2 linked regions of the Drosophila melanogaster genome follow. Changing the gene in region 2 together with the main gene of any one other region gives a genetic interaction. Each region holds a gene or a part of one and is shown on either strand. Other genes may lie near its edges.

Region 1 (7,651 bases), on a different chromosome or scaffold from region 2:
TCCTCGTTGTCGTAATAGTCGGAATCGCGGGCGCAACTGGGACCAAGTTCCATTTTCACCATCTTGTCGCGCCAAAAGTCGAGAAGCTCTTTGGTGAGAACCTCATCCCTCAGATTGAAAATCCAACTGTTGTAGTCGTCGGGCCCATAGAAACCAGCATCACCCTTGTACTCCTGCAGCAGCTCGGCGGCCTTGTTTTGATCCTCCGCTGAGGGTGTGCCATCGAAGAGCAGCTTCCAGATTATCTCCCTGGCGGCTGCCGCTATCTTCTTCACGCTGGCCTGGTGAACGCTGTCCGGAACGATGATTTTGGTCAGAACAAAGCGCTTCATTAGAGTTCGGTATTCCTCGAGCGGATTTTCCTTGGTCAGGGTGGCCTCAAATTCGCCAGACAGAGCGGCGGCATCATCGGCACTCAGTTCACCCGGAGTTGTAGGCGTCGCTGGCCCATCCTGATCCAGCGAAGCCTGCTCCTCGAGTGCTGCGCGCACCTTTAAGCTGGCTGCAAATGGAGCGGTACAACCGGCATGGGCATAGAACTCCAATGGCGGGGTGTCGTCGCTGTCAAAGAGATCACTGTCGCGTGACCAACAGGGACCGAGTTGCTTCTTCACCAGCACATCGCGCCAAAAGTCGAGGAGTTCCTTCTTTAGAACCTCATCCCTCAGCTTGACAATCCATTCGTTGTACGGCGTCGGGTCGTAGAAGCAGGCGTCACCACGGTATTCCTCCAGCAATTGGCTGGCCTTCTCTGTGTTCGATTGCGAGGTACCGGCCTCGTCGAATAACAGCCGCCAGATGACGTCACGCGCCGCTGCAGCCGTTCGATCGAAATTCTCCTTGGTGACATCATCATCCACGATTTCGTCTACCTGCACGCGTGTTTCGATAAGCTTTTGGTAATCCTTAACGGGATCCACCAGGCCAATGGTGTAATCGTTCTGTCCAGACAATAGTTGTTATTGTTTGTAAACTATTTTTGTTTATTTTCTATGGCTGTTGCTTATTACCTGTGCTACTTTCTCGGCCGTTGCCATTTTGTCGGATTGTGTGTCCTCGGCCTTGCGCTTGGACATTCCCCTCTGGATAAATTGGCGATTTAAGGTTCTTCGAAGTAAAGCGTTTAAAATCGTTGGGCTATTGATCGTCACTTCTGTCGGAAAGAGATAAGATGACTAATTCAGATCGCCGCTTGCTGTTGCGATACTACGAATGTAAATAGTAGGGTAGTTCTTTTCAATAGAGAATAATTTTAATTGGAATATTCTCGGAAGGACAGACCAAGAATCAAAATAAGACGACTTATTGGATGAATAAGAAAAGAAAGTATGTGACATATTGAAAATATTATATATTTTATGTCGGTTTATAAATAAATATATATGTATATATATTGTACAACTTCCTTTAAAATCACATCTTACATTTAAAATAAAAAAAACTGTTTTTAAAAGACAATTGCAAAATAGGTAATTAAATTATTACAAAAAAGTATCGATTCTGCCCGCAATCGATGTTTATCTAACACTTAATTGCACTCGATACTATCGGCTCTATCGAGTGTTCGAGATTATCGAATATAATCACCATCCGTGTCTACCAACACAAACGAGCGAATTGTTCGCAACGCCTACTTCGATTACAAGTACTTTGCTCTTGGAAATCGGTAGAAAAAATTGTGCAATCCGTGCTGGAAACTACAGATATTATTTTCGCCCGATTAATTCATGTCAAATTGATAGATTCATCTTATACCATTGGTTCCGCCCCGTGCTGACTGTGTTTGTGTGTGTGTGTGCGTGACAGACACAAAGAAATTTGAGGTTAAGCTGCAGATGAATTTTGCGTTAATGTCGCTGAAAAACCAAAGTTTAACAATCCTATTCAATAAAAAACACTTAAGCTAAAGATACAATCAATTTACAGTTGCAATAAGAGCAATAGTTGTGTCGTAAAAGGCAACACACACCAGCCAATTGCATTCGTGGAATTCGTGTCGGTGAGAGTCTCGCGGTGCGTCTGTGTGTGCGTGTGGACGTGAATTCAATTTTCTCGTGCACGAAAAGCAACGAAAAAGCTTCAAAAGTTATACTCAAATGTGTATGGCAATTGTGGTAAGTGCGGCAGGGGATCGGCTACAGCCGCAAGTTTTTAAATAATACATTTTTGTTGCATAAATTGTTTCGAACGTCAACGAACACTCGCACAACTACTGAGCCACAAAGTATGTGTGCTTGTGTGCGTGCGTTGGCATTTACATTCAATTTTTTTCGTTTAAACAATTTCTAACTGGATTTTGTTTGTTTTATTCGAAAAATAGTCTTAAAAAACATGTTGGCATTAGAAATAGTTTCTGGAATTTGTTTAAATTTTTTTTTAGTATATATCAACCAGTTACATTTTTATTTGTCTGTGCAAAAACTATAAACAATTGTCATCTTGTAAAACTAGAATATGTTATAAACTAATTGTGTTTACGTTTTTTATAAATATGAATGTGAACTTTTTAAATGTATTCTTCTCAAAATACCAACAAATCTGTGTAATTGCTATGAATAATATTCTTTTCTTCGCAATCAAATTAATCGAATTGCAAATTCTGCTGTGCTTGCATAAAAAACGTTAAGGAAAGTAATGTAATGTCCCATTTGTTATCATACACAACAATCATATACTTCAATAAATGGGTAACTTCACGCATTTTACTTTCATTCGACCCAGTTACCTGGTTAACTGCCTTCGCCAGTTGAAAATAAATGTCAGCTGACCCAGTTTTACCATCCGAACGGAACTAGGACGGGACCAAAACTATTTTGCACTGCACCAGTTAAAGTTTATTTCTCTTATTTTTTTTGGCAGTTTTTATCATCTTCATACGTCATTTGCTAGGTACATACACGTAGATTCTAATCTAATATCTAATCTGTTGAAGACATTTCGAGCAGATTTATATCATATCAAAGCGGCAGAGCAAACAGTAAACAAAAGACATGGCCGAGAGAAATTGTTTTTTTTAGAACAAAACAGCCAAATCAGTTGGCATTTTATACTGAACAAATGTGGACGGAGCAAAGTTGTAGTGCAAAAAGATTGCCTTCGTTCATAGCTTTCAATTTTACAATCAGTTGTTACTCAACAAGGTTTGGCTGTGATTTGCTGTTATCTCGAATTTTCGCATTTTTTCCACCTGTGTTTATCTTGATCGCACTGTTTGCTAATCGATATCAGCAAATTGCGTCAATTGGTATTGAAAGCGGTATAAGCGGTATAGAAATGGAACCTGGCAACTGAAACTGTCCCATACGCACCAAAGGAATATCAATTATACGCCAACCGGTGGTTGAAAATCCCAACGATATCCATTTTTTAACCGGTTCTCTTGTCAGATTTCTTGTGCTCTCTCCCTTTTATTTCCGTTTGGGGTCTCTTGTCCTTGAACAAGTTCAATGATAGTGCCCCGGCCACGGCAATACAAACAAAAGAAAGAAAAGAATCTCTTTCGGTTTCATTCTCTCTTTTTATTTATCCGTGATAAAAAAGAGCGAGCAGATAAGCGTATCAGCCAAGGGAAGAATTTTAAAATCCGGTTTGACTTTATCAAAAATATACCGAACAAACTCATACGAAAAGACGTCATAACTTGAACGCATCGATTACAAAACTCGATTAATTTGGTAGGGTTCCTTTCAATCATACAGATATACATTTTTCAAGATTGAATACCTATCTATCTAGCATTGCATTAAATTCCATTTTCTTATCAAGAGTACTACTACATGTATCTCAACTCAGTGTAGAGATTACGTATACGCTTCTTGGTTATTTTGTATTCCAGCTGTTTGTATTTTGTTGTCTGGGTTTATCTGCTTTCCGCCAGTTCTAAAATATTCCATATTCCCACGCACACAATCGAATCGAAAGCCAATTGAATTCCTCGAAATGTGTGGCAATACTTTCGTTCATTGAAATGCTTCCAGCAAATTTGTTTGAGGTCATTTTGATTTAGTGCAATTTATTGGATCTTTCTGAACATCTTCAACATCTTCTTAATTTTTGTTGTTGTGCGATAAATTTGCTTACTCGACAATTACCGAAATTAAACTTATTTAAAATTTACAACTTTCACTGCTCCGTGATCTGTAACCAAATCTATAAATGTGTCAAGTTGTAATTATAGAAATTCTCAAAATTAATTGAATGTAGATAAATGTATATTTCACGGTCTTTTGAGGTCATACTCGTACAGTAGCGGCAGCTTAAATTCTACAGCCAGCTAATTAAATACACTCGCACATTAGTTAGGAAGAAGTCAAGAACTCGCTAATTAGAAATATCGAAGTAGCATGAGAGTTGCGAACTTTCAGACTACTTTTCGCGGTTATATATCATTGTGCTGTATTATTTTTTTTTTTTTTTTTACTGCTGTCACGTTTTGGCCGCTTGTGTGCAGAATTTCACCAATACATGTCATATCCAAAAATAGACCAAAAAGCGAACAACAAAGCATGCAATACGATTTACAAACGTCAGTGGAGGGTGGAGGGTGGTAGATTGGTGGAAAATGGGAGGGGAAAATGTCACCGACCACCCCCGGATTCTATATATAGTGCGCGATAAATGCGGCGCTGTTTGTCCTCAATAGTTTTGGCCTGCCCTTGGTTAAGGTACACAGTACCCAAAACTAACCAGGAAAATGGCACTTTTTTGTTGATGTACTATGCATGTATGTACGTAATCCTTGTCTGTAAATCAACCTTGAAGGACCTGCAATTTGTGGCAGGAGAAGGCATGCATTCGATAATTGCAATAACGAGACAAGATTGCTTATTTATTTTTGTTTTGGTTGCATTTTATCAAAACAAAACAACAACAGCTGTTTTCCGATTAAAAGTCGTTGATGACGCATGAGAAGTCGCCGCCTGGTGCGTCACGAAAAACAGCGCGACCACTTGGCAACTAGAAAAAGGCGGTTTGAGATCCTAGTTGCCCCCGTGGTGGGGCCACCATTTCCTGCTCATCTCCTCCTGGTTCGCAGCACTCGAGACGCTTCGGGGCAAACTTAAAATTTCCATTATGGCGAAATACGGAAATCGCGGATGGATGGAGATGGAGATGGTGTTGGTGCTGGGGCTTGGACATCGCCCTTCCTCCTTTGCTAGTCGCGCAAAATCAATAACTCGAGCTTGGTCTGTGTTTTTTTTTGCTGTCTTTTCATTTGACTTGGGTTTCCAATACCCATACTTATCTGATCTGAAAGCGTGCCGCGAATATCTAAGGTGAACAAAACTTAGAAAAGTTTTGGTTTTCATGTGTTTGGCAGTACAAAAAAGGTTCTTGCTTGCTTTATATCTATATCTATATCTATCTATATCTCGTATCTATCTATATCTATCTATCTATATCAATCTATCTATATCAATCTTCTTGACTATACATTTATTGTAAGATGAATTTATATCTATTGATCCTAAATCATTTACAATTATTCTCAATATTCATTTAAGATACCAATGATTCCAATGATTTAAGTTCCAAGTTGGTAACAGTGTACTGTTTTATTGAATGTTTAGTCTACCAGCTTTCTACCCCATGTAGGTAGCTAGTTTTTGTTTTTTTAATAAGTGTATAAGACTTAATGTATTCTTAGTGTCTGCGTTATGTCTGGCTTTTTTTTTCGGCACGTCTCCGGTTTTATTGACACCCGTGGACAGACTTTAGCTTAGTAAGTTGAGGCTTGAGTGGCAGTTACCCTCATCACATTTCCCGTCCGTTAGTCATTTTCAATTTGTTTACAACCTTTTACTACTATTTTTTGCAAGTCTGTGATTATTGGCGTAAATCGGGCGATCTTGTTTGCCAGGATTGCAGTCGAAGTCTAAACAAAAACTGAAAGAGGGGACAAACAAAAAAAAAAAAAAAGAAAAGGGAACTGGAATTGAAGTACTTTGAACCCCGAATCCAAACTCAGACACACCGGCATTCAGTTGTGTTTGCTTTCTTACCTCCAGATTTCATCGGTTCCTTGTTCTTTGTTTCCTTCTTGTCTGGCCCTCGGTCTAAGTCGTCTGCTCCTGTTTCGGGAAAGTCCAATCAACTTTCCGCACAGACAAAACCATCTGCTACCTCGGAGAGAACAAAAAGTATTTTTTGTCAAAGATACAATAGTCTGTTAAGAAGTTTTGTCTAATTGCACGAATATCTTTATGTTGATTTGAATCAAAAGTTTGATTTCATTAAACTCGTCGTTTAAAGACATTATGATGTATTAACTGATTGGAAAATGTATTTGAAAATCTGTGTATGTAGCGAGGAGCATTCAAGTGGAACAAATGTGTACATATGTATGCATGTATGTTTGTATATAGCGAGTAACAATATAGCCGCAATTTGGTATTAGTGTCGTCATGCCATTTGCCTACATCTCGATTATAATCAACTGGTTTAAATGTAAGACTAATTTCATATTAAGTTACACGTTTGTGTGCGCCGTAGCCTTCATTAACTGTGCATAATATAAACCGCATTTAGCTTTGTTTATTGCCCTTAAATAACGACTGACCTTGGCATCCCGTAAAAGTTATAATCTGACTGCAAAACTTTCCTTCGCTGTATTTGAACACTTTCCAAGTCAGGTAGCTAGATGGGGAAAAAAACCTTTATATGCTAAAGATCTTATCAATCATTTATTTATTCCCCGATTTAAAAAGCGTTTCCACACAGTTATTTGAATATCCTACGGATTATATGTCTATAAGCATTTTGGCACTTTAAAATACCAAGCCATTAACGCGAAATAATTTGTATTGGTCATAAATATAAGTGTTTGTTAGGTAATGTCAATATGATTTGCGTTTCTTCGAAAATACAGGTATATTCAAAATTTTAGTAGAGTTTATTTTCGAAACTTATTTCAGAGACGAAGTCGAAAAAAATATTTTAAGATCTATATTTAAAAAGAACAGAATACAAACTAACTTGTTGTCTAGTTTCTAAAATTAAACAATTTAACATTTTAAAATAAATACCCTCGTGATTTTAAATCAGAACTACTTATATTGTCACTACTATACCAGAACGAATAAAATGCTTTAAAATTTAAACATTTTTAGTAAGCACAAAATTCGCCCTTTCATGGTCCATTGAACTCTGCTAATTATGTTCAACAGTAGAAAAGTAAAACTAACCAAGCAAATTGTTTCTATTTTTCCTGCCTCTATTGTTTTTGCACAACAGACTTTTTAAAGCGCTTTAAATATGCACCAGACTGTAGATAATTTTTTTTCGCTCTCTGCGTGAGCGATTGGAGAGATGTGCGTCACGACTCTCTCTTCGTTCTCCCCGGCAATGGAGACTTACTGCCGGACGGAGCGGCCGTTTCCGTGGCGTAAAATGGGCGGCGAAGAGTTGACAATCGCCAGTCGATAGCAAAACATGAGAGAGTGCTCATCACGCAGCAATACGCGTCTACTTATTGTGGTAATCGTAATCGATCAACGTCTCAGAATCGACACTTGTCGATATTTAATCGAGATACTATCTCGCCGTATAACGGGCGATTAACGATAGGTAAATACAATTTATCCGCTGGCAAATCTGAATGTGGAGGACCAATCCTCAGTATATTCGAATTAACTGATAGGAGAGAAAGCTT
Region 2 (11,703 bases):
TAGCGATATATGTAAGAGATATGGTATTTTGATATTTTAAAGAAATTATGATATGAGGTTATAATGAGTACATTGTTTTAATGCGAAAACTTGCCTTGATAAGTTTTGTGATAAGTTGAAGTCATTCGCTTTCTGCAGCAATAATTTATTACTTGTATCCACAGAAGTTCCATTTATACCGTTGGCGAAAATAATTATTGTAATAAATGATATGAAATATGTGTTCATTTTAATCGAACAGAGCAATATATATACTCTGTCTATTAAGTTTATAATATTCAACCGTGTTGGGCTGTAATCTTCTAGGATTAAAAAAACAATAAGTCGTATCCACTTATTAAAGAAACTAATTTTACCGGTGTATTTTAGGAGTTCAGCCCATTTAGTGTGTATTTCACACATGTGTATGCACTGATTACGATTTTTCATACTTCTCTCCTGGGAGTATTTTATTGGCATCTGTCACTACCACTTTTATATTTACTGGAAAAACTGTCTATTAGAATGAGAGAATGTTTTTAATAAATAATGTTAGAAGACAGATTCCAAGAGCACTAAATTAGTTGCATTTTGCAAGTTCCGTAAATACCTTTTTTCCACTCTCAAATTATACTGTGCAACCTTTTCCTTTTCTCTTAAATGTACTATTTACTAGTACGTTAAATGTTCTGCCTTTCCTCGATCCGCATATTCATCGACTCTACTATCGATTGTACTTATTACTATCGATTGTAATAAAGAGCTAACATGCAGGGAAAGCCTGAATTTAAGGTATTAGTCAACTACCGACGAATATAGAACTCTTAAGATATTTAGTTATCGGCCCTGTTCCAGATGTCACTTTCGAATGATTCCCACTGGATTCTTCTCTCTAATTGAAGTTTGGTTATATACAAAGAACAACTGTGGAAAAAACTGTAAATCATTACTTTGAGTTTTATTTAAAATAATTAAAAAATAATTGAATACTGAAATGAATCGCATTTGGCTTAAATGGCAAAATTTTCTTATGGTAAAACGAATTACAATGATTTGTTAAATAGGTAACTTACCCCAATTAGCACAATAAATTTTCTGACTCTGAATACCACTTCTACAAAAAAATACATTTTTAATACGTTAGCACAACAACAGCACACGGGACTGCATACTTAAATTCATGACAATAAACTCTGAAAGTTAAGAAGGAAAATTACAAAAATTGGTGGGAGGTAACATCACTCACAAAAGAAATCACGAGATTAACGTTGGAAACTTTTGCTTTAACATGCTTAAAAAAACCTAACTTTTGTTGCTAGAGATTTATGCTACTTTTGATTTTACTGTCTTAGTATTTTTCTTGCCAATATCTATCTATATGTATAGCAAAAAAATATTTTGGCCACGTTATAATTTTTTTATCGATTTAAGTAAAATTTCTACTTTGCACTACTAGAAAAGAAATGAGCTGATGCTGTTTTAGTTACTTTTTTCGACATTTTTTCTTCAGCTGAAGCTCCAAAAGCAACAGAAGTTTCATCAGCTACAGCCACCTGTCAAATTTCAATTGGCTACATGCATTGCTTCATATTTTAGTTATACATACAGACATACATACTTCCAGGAGAAGATACATATAATACAAGTTAGTTTTAAATATACTGTTTAAACTGCTACGCCCACATTTTTAAAAAAATTGTTGGATATTTTTTCATAATTGTATATGTCGCTTAAATTTCTATCGATTTTTGCCACGCCCACTTTAACGCCCTAAAGCCGCCATACCAGTCACGCCAAATTTTTTAACAATTTTTAATTTTTTTCTCATTTTTTCCCCCAATATCTATCGATATCCCAGAAAAATAATGAAATTAGAGTTCGCATTCACACTAGCAGTGTAACGGGTATTTGATAGACGGGGAACTTGTCTATAGTATTCTCTCTTTTTTATATTTAAGGTTTAAGGAGAGGTACTCCGATCATTTTTGTAGAGTTTGTTAGCAATGTTGCCGCGACGATGCCTGCGTGTCTGCATGTAACCGAACCCGTTCGCATTATCTTAGGCCGAGGCTAGGCGACCCGAGCATGCATGTTAGCATTTAGAATTAGATTTAAGGCTACGAAAGCCACATACGATAATTAACAAAACTAAAACCGAAAATTGAAAGCGCCCATAGGGGGACAGAGTGGGAACGATAGCGACAGAAACTTCTGGAAGAAGTCCAAAACTCAGCGAAAAGTTTTGTGAAGCAAAAAGAACGAAAAAGGTGTTTGGGAGCAGAAGCCAATGAGTAAAGGCAAATTTGTGAATAAATGTGCGACAATTTCGCAGAAGAAAATTTACTGGGATACAGACCATCGTGTGACGCCTTATCCAGACCGGCCGAGACCAGGAGAAACGAAAGAAGGACAACTTGGAGGAGACACACGGCGGACCCGGAATCCAAGTCATCAAAGGAGGGAACGGCGAAAAGAAGATGACAAGAATTTGAAACGAGAAAGGCTGGAACAAAAATGTGATATCATGGGAAATAAATACAATTAAATCATAATAATATATATATTGGAAAAAATCTGGAAAACAAAAAAATAAAACCCACGATGCTCAGAAGGGCTTATTTTCTTGAAGACCATGTAATCGTGAATCGAGTCGTCCCAAGTATTTAGTGTTCTGTGTTTTTTGTTTATTTTTTTTGTATATTTAATATTTTTAATTTGTTTTTTGATTTATAAGTAAAATAAATATTGTTTAATTATATTTCATAAAAAATTGAGTTTACGTATGCAAAGAACTCTTAATTTTTACCTTTAAAGTTAAAAGTTTAATTTTTTTCACAGTGCGTAAACAGTTTCTTGACATACTGTATGCAACGTAAATAACTGTGCTTTTGTAAGTGAGTGCTTGTGTCCGCCGATCCTAAAATATGTGAATTGGCACCACAACTTACAGTTATTACATACATATGTAAACATTTAGTTTTAATAGGTGGAAATTCGAAACGAGTGAAGGGTGCTTAAATTTTGAGATACAGGACATTATTTTTAACGCATCAAGATGTGCTTCACTACCAGTACGGTTCATTTCATAACCAAGGAATTCTCATTCAGGTTTAAAAATTTCAAATTTATTTAGGTTAATCTGTTTGTTGTTCTCACTAATACGATCTAATAATTAAATAATTCCTCTACAGTTGTGGTAGCTACGACTTTATCATCCATATACACTACTATCTGCTTGTGATGCCCGTTATTCTTAGAGTAAAAGGATATACTAGATTCGTTGAAAAGTTGTTAGGCAGAATGAAGCGCGTCAGCATTGTTTATACAAAGCTTCTTAGTAGCTGTGAAGTATTACATTATCAGTTGCTAACTACTCCCCCTTCAGGCTTATGACCGTCCTCGGTCATGTTAAAAGTGTCGATGGTTCGCTGTATCTCCCTGGAGGCTCGTCTTCTCCTTAATGCCAGATAAAGTGCGAAGGAGCCACTTAACCCAACGTTTAGGACCACACCAGCTACGAACCAGAGTTTAGGCGAACCTTCAGATTCCATGTCGTCCTTAAAGCTTTGGATGGAGAGTAGGTTCTCGTTATTCATCCGGTGAAGCAGAGGGATGCTGAGTACAGGGTGTTAAGTATGTTAAGTAATGGGGAGCGCACAATGCCTGGCTGCTTGCTTGCTTTTCGTAGGTTTACGAACTCGGAGCCATTGATGGTTGCCGTTCGCTCGAAGGTCACCAGGTGGGTTCCCTCGACTAGTATTTCTGGGCTGCCATTGGTGCTAACACGAGCTGCTGCTTCGTTGATAATCACAACGCAGTCATCTACGGGAGGTACTTCTTGCAAGTAGCTGGGTTGAATGTGGCATTGGGCTGCGCTTCCTGCGTGGAGCGAGCGCGCACAAGATTCGCGCCGGGACCGCTCGCAGAACGTGTAGTGTGTGGTATCTGTGCATTCGGTGACCGCAAAGGTGTCATGCTTGCATTCGGCCAGCGTATCCTCGTCGAGGCGTAAGATGATGATGTTGGTGAGATACAGGGTAGACGGCGACTTTCTTGCAACCGAACTTGACTCTGGGATAGGCAATTATAATATGAATGCTGTTCTCGGACTGGAGGACCCTCATCTTGGATGCTTCTATTAAGCTGACAATAGGGGTGTCCTGTTCTACAAGAGACTTCAAGTCGGCATGGTCAAGAATGGTGGGATTTGCAATGTTTGATTTGGCCAAAGTAATAGTAAGAATTAAATTTCTGTAAAAAGCATCCTATTTCTTGCCAATAATGCTTCATATAAATGTGGAGTGTCAACCAAGTCGTTTTTACGGGCACTGATGACCTTATTGATGGTGTCATTTAACTTGTTAATCTGCTTCTGGGTTTCGGAATTTATGGTTATCTGCCGGGTCAGTCGCGATCGAACTCTCGCAGTGTGCAGATGTGCCAGCGGACAAATTCACGACGACTACTTGTGTACCGGAGCACCGCCTATCTCTCACCTACGCCGAGCGATCTGTTTGGCTATAAAGTGGATAAAGTGGCTTTGGCGGTTGGCAAATGCTTGTGCCTAAAAATAATACAGGCAAGCGTAAGGAGCCACCTAATGCACCCACAATATCGAAATCCAAAGTACCCAAGGTACTCGAAAATTCCATGAAAAAGACATTGGCCATTGGCAGCTCCACCTCCAGCTCCAATGAAATTGAAAGTGGTAATGATAAGAACAACGAATCCCTAGAGGCCGGCGAAATTAGACAGTTCACCATAAGAAATACCGTAAATACCTTTTTTCCACTCTCAAATTATACTGTGCAACCTTTTCCTTTTCTCTTAAATGTACTATTTACTAGTACGTTAAATGTTCTGCCTTTCCTCGATCCGCATATTCATCGACTCTACTATCGATTGTACTTATTACTATCGATTGTAATAAAGAGCTAACATGCAGGGAAAGCCTGAATTTAAGGTATTAGTCAACTACCGACGAATATAGAACTCTTAAGATATTTAGTTATCGGCCCTGTTCCAGAAATCACTTTCGAATGATTCCCACGGGATTCTTCTCTCTAATTGAAGTTTGGTTATATACAAAGAACAACTGTGGAAAAAACTGTAAATCATTACTTTGAGTTTTATTTAAAATAATTAAAAAATAATTGAATACTGAAATGAATCGCATTTGGCTTAAATGGCAAAATTTTCTTATGGTAAAACGAATTACAATGATTTGTTAAATAGGTAACTTACCCCAATTAGCACAATAAATTTTCTGACTCTGAATACCACTTCTACAAAAAAATACATTTTTAATACGTTAGCACAACAACAGCACACGGGACTGCATACTTAAATTCATGACAATAAACTCTGAAAGTTAAGAAGGAAAATTACAAAAATTGGTGGGAGGTAACATCACTCACAAAAGAAATCACGAGATTAACGTTGGAAACTTTTGCTTTAACATGCTTAAAAAAACCTAACTTTTGTTGCTAGAGATTTATGCTACTTTTGATTTTACTGTCTTAGTATTTTTCTTGCCAATATCTATCTATATGTATAGCAAAAAAATATTTTGGCCACGTTATAATTTTTTTATCGATTTAAGTAAAATTTCTACTTTGCACTACTAGAAAAGAAATGAGCTGATGCTGTTTTAGTTACTTTTTTCGACATTTTTTCTTCAGCTGAAGCTCCAAAAGCAACAGAAGTTTCATCAGCTACAGCACCCTGTCAAATTTCAATTGGCTACATGCATTGCTTCATATTTTAGTTATACATACAGACATACATACTTCCAGGAGAAGATACATATAATACAAGTTAGTTTTAAATATACTGTTTAAACTGCTACGCCCACATTTTTAAAAAAATTGTTGGATATTTTTTCATAATTGTATATGTCGCTTAAATTTCTATCGATTTTTGCCACGCCCACTTTAACGCCCTAAAGCCGCCATACCAGTCACGCCAAATTTTTTAACAATTTTTAATTTTTTTCTCATTTTTTCCCCCAATATCTATCGATATCCCAGAAAAATAATGAAATTAGAGTTCGCATTCACACTAGCAGTGTAACGGGTATTTGATAGACGGGGAACTTGTCTATAGTATTCTCTCTTTTTTATATTTAAGGTTTAAGGAGAGGTACTCCGATCATTTTTGTAGAGTTTGTTAGCAATGTTGCCGCGACGATGCCTGCGTGTCTGCATGTAACCGAACCCGTTCGCATTATCTTAGGCCGAGGCTAGGCGACCCGAGCATGCATGTTAGCATTTAGAATTAGATTTAAGGCTACGAAAGCCACATACGATAATTAACAAAACTAAAACCGAAAATTGAAAGCGCCCATAGGGGGACAGAGTGGGAACGATAGCGACAGAAACTTCTGGAAGAAGTCCAAAACTCAGCGAAAAGTTTTGTGAAGCAAAAAGAAAGAAAAAGGTGTTTGGGAGCAGAAGCCAATGAGTAAAGGCAAATTTGTGAATAAATGTGCGACAATTTCGCAGAAGAAAATTTACTGAGATACAGACCATCGTGTGACGCCTTATCCAGACCGGCCGAGACCAGGAGAAACGAAAGAAGGACAACTTGGAGGAGACACACGGCGGACCCGGAATCCAAGTCATCAAAGGAGGGAACGGCGAAAAGAAGATGACAAGAATTTGAAACGAGAAAGGCTGGAACAAAAATGTGATATCATGGGAAATAAATACAATTAAATCATAATAATATATATATTGGAAAAAATCTGGAAAACAAAAAAATAAAACCCACGATGCTCAGAAGGGCTTATTTTCTTGAAGACCATGTAATCGTGAATCGAGTCGTCCCAAGTATTTAGTGTTCTGTGTTTTTTGTTTATTTTTTTTTGTATATTTAATATTTTTAATTTGTTTTTTGATTTATAAGTAAAATAAATATTGTTTAATTATATTTCATAAAAAATTGAGTTTACGTATGCAAAGAACTCTTAATTTTTACCTTTAAAGTTAAAAGTTTAATTTTTTTCACAGTGCGTAAACAGTTTCTTGACATACTGTATGCAACGTAAATAACTGTGCTTTTGTAAGTGAGTGCTTGTGTCCGCCGATCCTAAAATATGTGAATTGGCACCACAACTTACAGTTATTACATACATATGTAAACATTTAGTTTTAATAGGTGGAAATTCGAAACGAGTGAAGGGTGCTTAAATTTTGAGATACAGGACATTATTTTTAACGCATCAAGATGTGCTTCACTACCAGTACGGTTCATTTCATAACCAAGGAATTCTCATTCAGGTTTAAAAATTTCAAATTTATTTAGGTTAATCTGTTTGTTGTTCTCACTAATACGATCTAATAATTAAATAATTCCTCTACAGTTGTGGTAGCTACGACTTTATCATCCATATACACTACTATCTGCTTGTGATGCCCGTTATTCTTAGAGTAAAAGGATATACTAGATTCGTTGAAAAGTTGTTAGGCAGAATGAAGCGCGTCAGCATTGTTTATACAAAGCTTCTTAGTAGCTGTGAAGTATTACATTATCAGTTGCTAACTACTCCCCCTTCAGGCTTATGACCGTCCTCGGTCATGTTAAAAGTGTCGATGGTTCGCTGTATCTCCCTGGAGGCTCGTCTTCTCCTTAATGCCAGATAAAGTGCGAAGGAGCCAATTAACCCAACGTTTAGGACCACACCAGCTACGAACCAGAGTTTAGGCGAACCTTCAGATTCCATGTCGTCCTTAAAGCTTTGGATGGAGAGTAGGTTCTCGTTATTCATCCGGTGAAGCAGAGGGATGCTGAGTACAGGGTGTTAAGTATGTTAAGTAATGGGGAGCGCACAATGCCTGGCTGCTTGCTTGCTTTTCGTAGGTTTACGAACTCGGAGCCATTGATGGTTGCCGTTCGCTCGAAGGTCACCAGGTGGGTTCCCTCGACTAGTATTTCTGGGCTGCCATTGGTGCTAACACGAGCTGCTGCTTCGTTGATAATCACAACGCAGTCATCTACGGGAGGTACTTCTTGCAAGTAGCTGGGTTGAATGTGGCATTGGGCTGCGCTTCCTGCGTGGAGCGAGCGCGCACAAGATTCGCGCCGGGACCGCTCGCAGAACGTGTAGTGTGTGGTATCTGTGCATTCGGTGACCGCAAAGGTGTCATGCTTGCATTCGGCCAGCGTATCCTCGTCGAGGCGTAAGATGATGATGTTGGTGAGATACAGGGTAGACGGCGACTTTCTTGCAACCGAACTTGACTCTGGGATAGGCAATTATAATATGAATGCTGTTCTCGGACTGGAGGACCCTCATCTTGGATGCTTCTATTAAGCTGACAATAGGGGTGTCCTGTTCTACAAGAGACTTCAAGTCGGCATGGTCAAGAATGGTGGGATTTGCAATGTTTGATTTGGCCAAAGTAATAGTAAGAATTAAATTTCTGTAAAAAGCATCCTATTTCTTGCCAATAATGCTTCATATAAATGTGGAGTGTCAACCAAGTCGTTTTTACGGGCACTGATGACCTTATTGATGGTGTCATTTAACTTGTTAATCTGCTTCTGGGTTTCGGAATTTATGGTTATCTGCCGGGTCAGTCGCGATCGAACTCTCGCAGTGTGCAGATGTGCCAGCGGACAAATTCACGACGACTACTTGTGTACCGGAGCACCGCCTATCTCTCACCTACGCCGAGCGATCTGTTTGGCTATAAAGTGGATAAAGTGGCTTTGGCGGTTGGCAAATGCTTGTGCCTAAAAATAATACAGGCAAGCGTAAGGAGCCACCTAATGCACCCACAATATCGAAATCCAAAGTACCCAAGGTACTCGAAAATTCCATGAAAAAGACATTGGCCATTGGCAGCTCCACCTCCAGCTCCAATGAAATTGAAAGTGGTAATGATAAGAACAACGAATCCCTAGAGGCCGGCGAAATTAGACAGTTCACCATAAGAAATACCGTAAATACCTTTTTTCCACTCTCAAATTATACTGTGCAACCTTTTCCTTTTCTCTTAAATGTACTATTTACTAGTACGTTAAATGTTCTGCCTTTCCTCGATCCGCATATTCATCGACTCTACTATCGATTGTACTTATTACTATCGATTGTAATAAAGAGCTAACATGCAGGGAAAGCCTGAATTTAAGGTATTAGTCAACTACCGACGAATATAGAACTCTTAAGATATTTAGTTATCGGCCCTGTTCCAGAAATCACTTTCGAATGATTCCCACGGGATTCTTCTCTCTAATTGAAGTTTGGTTATATACAAAGAACAACTGTGGAAAAAACTGTAAATCATTACTTTGAGTTTTATTTAAAATAATTAAAAAATAATTGAATACTGAAATGAATCGCATTTGGCTTAAATGGCAAAATTTTCTTATGGTAAAACGAATTACAATGATTTGTTAAATAGGTAACTTACCCCAATTAGCACAATAAATTTTCTGACTCTGAATACCACTTCTACAAAAAAATACATTTTTAATACGTTAGCACAACAACAGCACACGGGACTGCATACTTAAATTCATGACAATAAACTCTGAAAGTTAAGAAGGAAAATTACAAAAATTGGTGGGAGGTAACATCACTCACAAAAGAAATCACGAGATTAACGTTGGAAACTTTTGCTTTAACATGCTTAAAAAAACCTAACTTTTGTTGCTAGAGATTTATGCTACTTTTGATTTTACTGTCTTAGTATTTTTCTTGCCAATATCTATCTATATGTATAGCAAAAAAATATTTTGGCCACGTTATAATTTTTTTATCGATTTAAGTAAAATTTCTACTTTGCACTACTAGAAAAGAAATGAGCTGATGCTGTTTTAGTTACTTTTTTCGACATTTTTTCTTCAGCTGAAGCTCCAAAAGCAACAGAAGTTTCATCAGCTACAGCACCCTGTCAAATTTCAATTGGCTACATGCATTGCTTCATATTTTAGTTATACATACAGACATACATACTTCCAGGAGAAGATACATATAATACAAGTTAGTTTTAAATATACTGTTTAAACTGCTACGCCCACATTTTTAAAAAAATTGTTGGATATTTTTTCATAATTGTATATGTCGCTTAAATTTCTATCGATTTTTGCCACGCCCACTTTAACGCCCTAAAGCCGCCATACCAGTCACGCCAAATTTTTTAACAATTTTTAATTTTTTTCTCATTTTTTCCCCCAATATCTATCGATATCCCAGAAAAATAATGAAATTAGAGTTCGCATTCACACTAGCAGTGTAACGGGTATTTGATAGACGGGGAACTTGTCTATAGTATTCTCTCTTTTTTATATTTAAGGTTTAAGGAGAGGTACTCCGATCATTTTTGTAGAGTTTGTTAGCAATGTTGCCGCGACGATGCCTGCGTGTCTGCATGTAACCGAACCCGTTCGCATTATCTTAGGCCGAGGCTAGGCGACCCGAGCATGCATGTTAGCATTTAGAATTAGATTTAAGGCTACGAAAGCCACATACGATAATTAACAAAACTAAAACCGAAAATTGAAAGCGCCCATAGGGGGACAGAGTGGGAACGATAGCGACAGAAACTTCTGGAAGAAGTCCAAAACTCAGCGAAAAGTTTTGTGAAGCAAAAAGAAAGAAAAAGGTGTTTGGGAGCAGAAGCCAATGAGTAAAGGCAAATTTGTGAATAAATGTGCGACAATTTCGCAGAAGAAAATTTACTGAGATACAGACCATCGTGTGACGCCTTATCCAGACCGGCCGAGACCAGGAGAAACGAAAGAAGGACAACTTGGAGGAGACACACGGCGGACCCGGAATCCAAGTCATCAAAGGAGGGAACGGCGAAAAGAAGATGACAAGAATTTGAAACGAGAAAGGCTGGAACAAAAATGTGATATCATGGGAAATAAATACAATTAAATCATAATAATATATATATTGGAAAAAATCTGGAAAACAAAAAAATAAAACCCACGATGCTCAGAAGGGCTTATTTTCTTGAAGACCATGTAATCGTGAATCGAGTCGTCCCAAGTATTTAGTGTTCTGTGTTTTTTGTTTATTTTTTTTTGTATATTTAATATTTTTAATTTGTTTTTTGATTTATAAGTAAAATAAATATTGTTTAATTATATTTCATAAAAAATTGAGTTTACGTATGCAAAGAACTCTTAATTTTTACCTTTAAAGTTAAAAGTTTAATTTTTTTCACAGTGCGTAAACAGTTTCTTGACATACTGTATGCAACGTAAATAACTGTGCTTTTGTAAGTGAGTGCTTGTGTCCGCCGATCCTAAAATATGTGAATTGGCACCACAACTTACAGTTATTACATACATATGTAAACATTTAGTTTTAATAGGTGGAAATTCGAAACGAGTGAAGGGTGCTTAAATTTTGAGATACAGGACATTATTTTTAACGCATCAAGATGTGCTTCACTACCAGTACGGTTCATTTCATAACCAAGGAATTCTCATTCAGGTTTAAAAATTTCAAATTTATTTAGGTTAATCTGTTTGTTGTTCTCACTAATACGATCTAATAATTAAATAATTCCTCTACAGTTGTGGTAGCTACGACTTTATCATCCATATACACTACTATCTGCTTGTGATGCCCGATATTCTTAGAGTAAAAGGATATACTATATTCGTTGAAAAGTTGTTAGGCAGAATGAAGCGCGTCAGCATTGTTTATACAAAGCTTCTTAGTAGCTGTGAAGTATTACATTATCAGTTGCTAACTACTCCCCC

What was found. A genetic interaction does not mean that the proteins touch.
Region 1: of uex (region 2) and PRL-1, changing one suppresses a phenotype caused by changing the other (phenotypic suppression), as found in Drosophila melanogaster (one study listed by BioGRID).

What each region holds. Positions count from the first base shown.
Region 1 is NT_033779.5:16,251,539-16,259,189, reverse strand, and holds the start of PRL-1 (PRL-1 phosphatase), read left to right. Parts: upstream 1-1,583; 5' UTR 1,584-2,114; intron 2,115-3,034; exon of another isoform or gene 3,035-3,140; intron 3,141-7,401; exon of another isoform or gene 7,402-7,431; coding exon of another isoform or gene 7,432-7,560; exon of another isoform or gene 7,561-7,651. Other genes in the region: EndoGI (endonuclease G inhibitor), read right to left, coding at 1-941, 1,011-1,076; CG46309 (uncharacterized protein), read left to right, coding at 7,432-7,560. UniProt on the Drosophila melanogaster protein: Probable phosphatase. Inhibits growth possibly by negatively regulating Src64B-induced growth. Regulates central nervous system circuit formation and stabilization of synapse-dense terminal arbors.
Region 2 is NT_033778.4:3,942,840-3,954,542, forward strand, and holds the start of uex (unextended), read right to left. Parts: upstream 6,587-11,703; 5' UTR 6,507-6,586; exon of another isoform or gene 6,009-6,506; intron 5,383-6,008; exon of another isoform or gene 4,761-5,382; intron 1,212-4,760; exon of another isoform or gene 1,173-1,211; 5' UTR 590-1,172; intron 497-589; 5' UTR 229-496; coding exon 95-228; intron 1-94. UniProt on the Drosophila melanogaster protein: Probable metal transporter. Acts downstream of PRL-1 and protects the nervous system against olfactory carbon dioxide stimulation.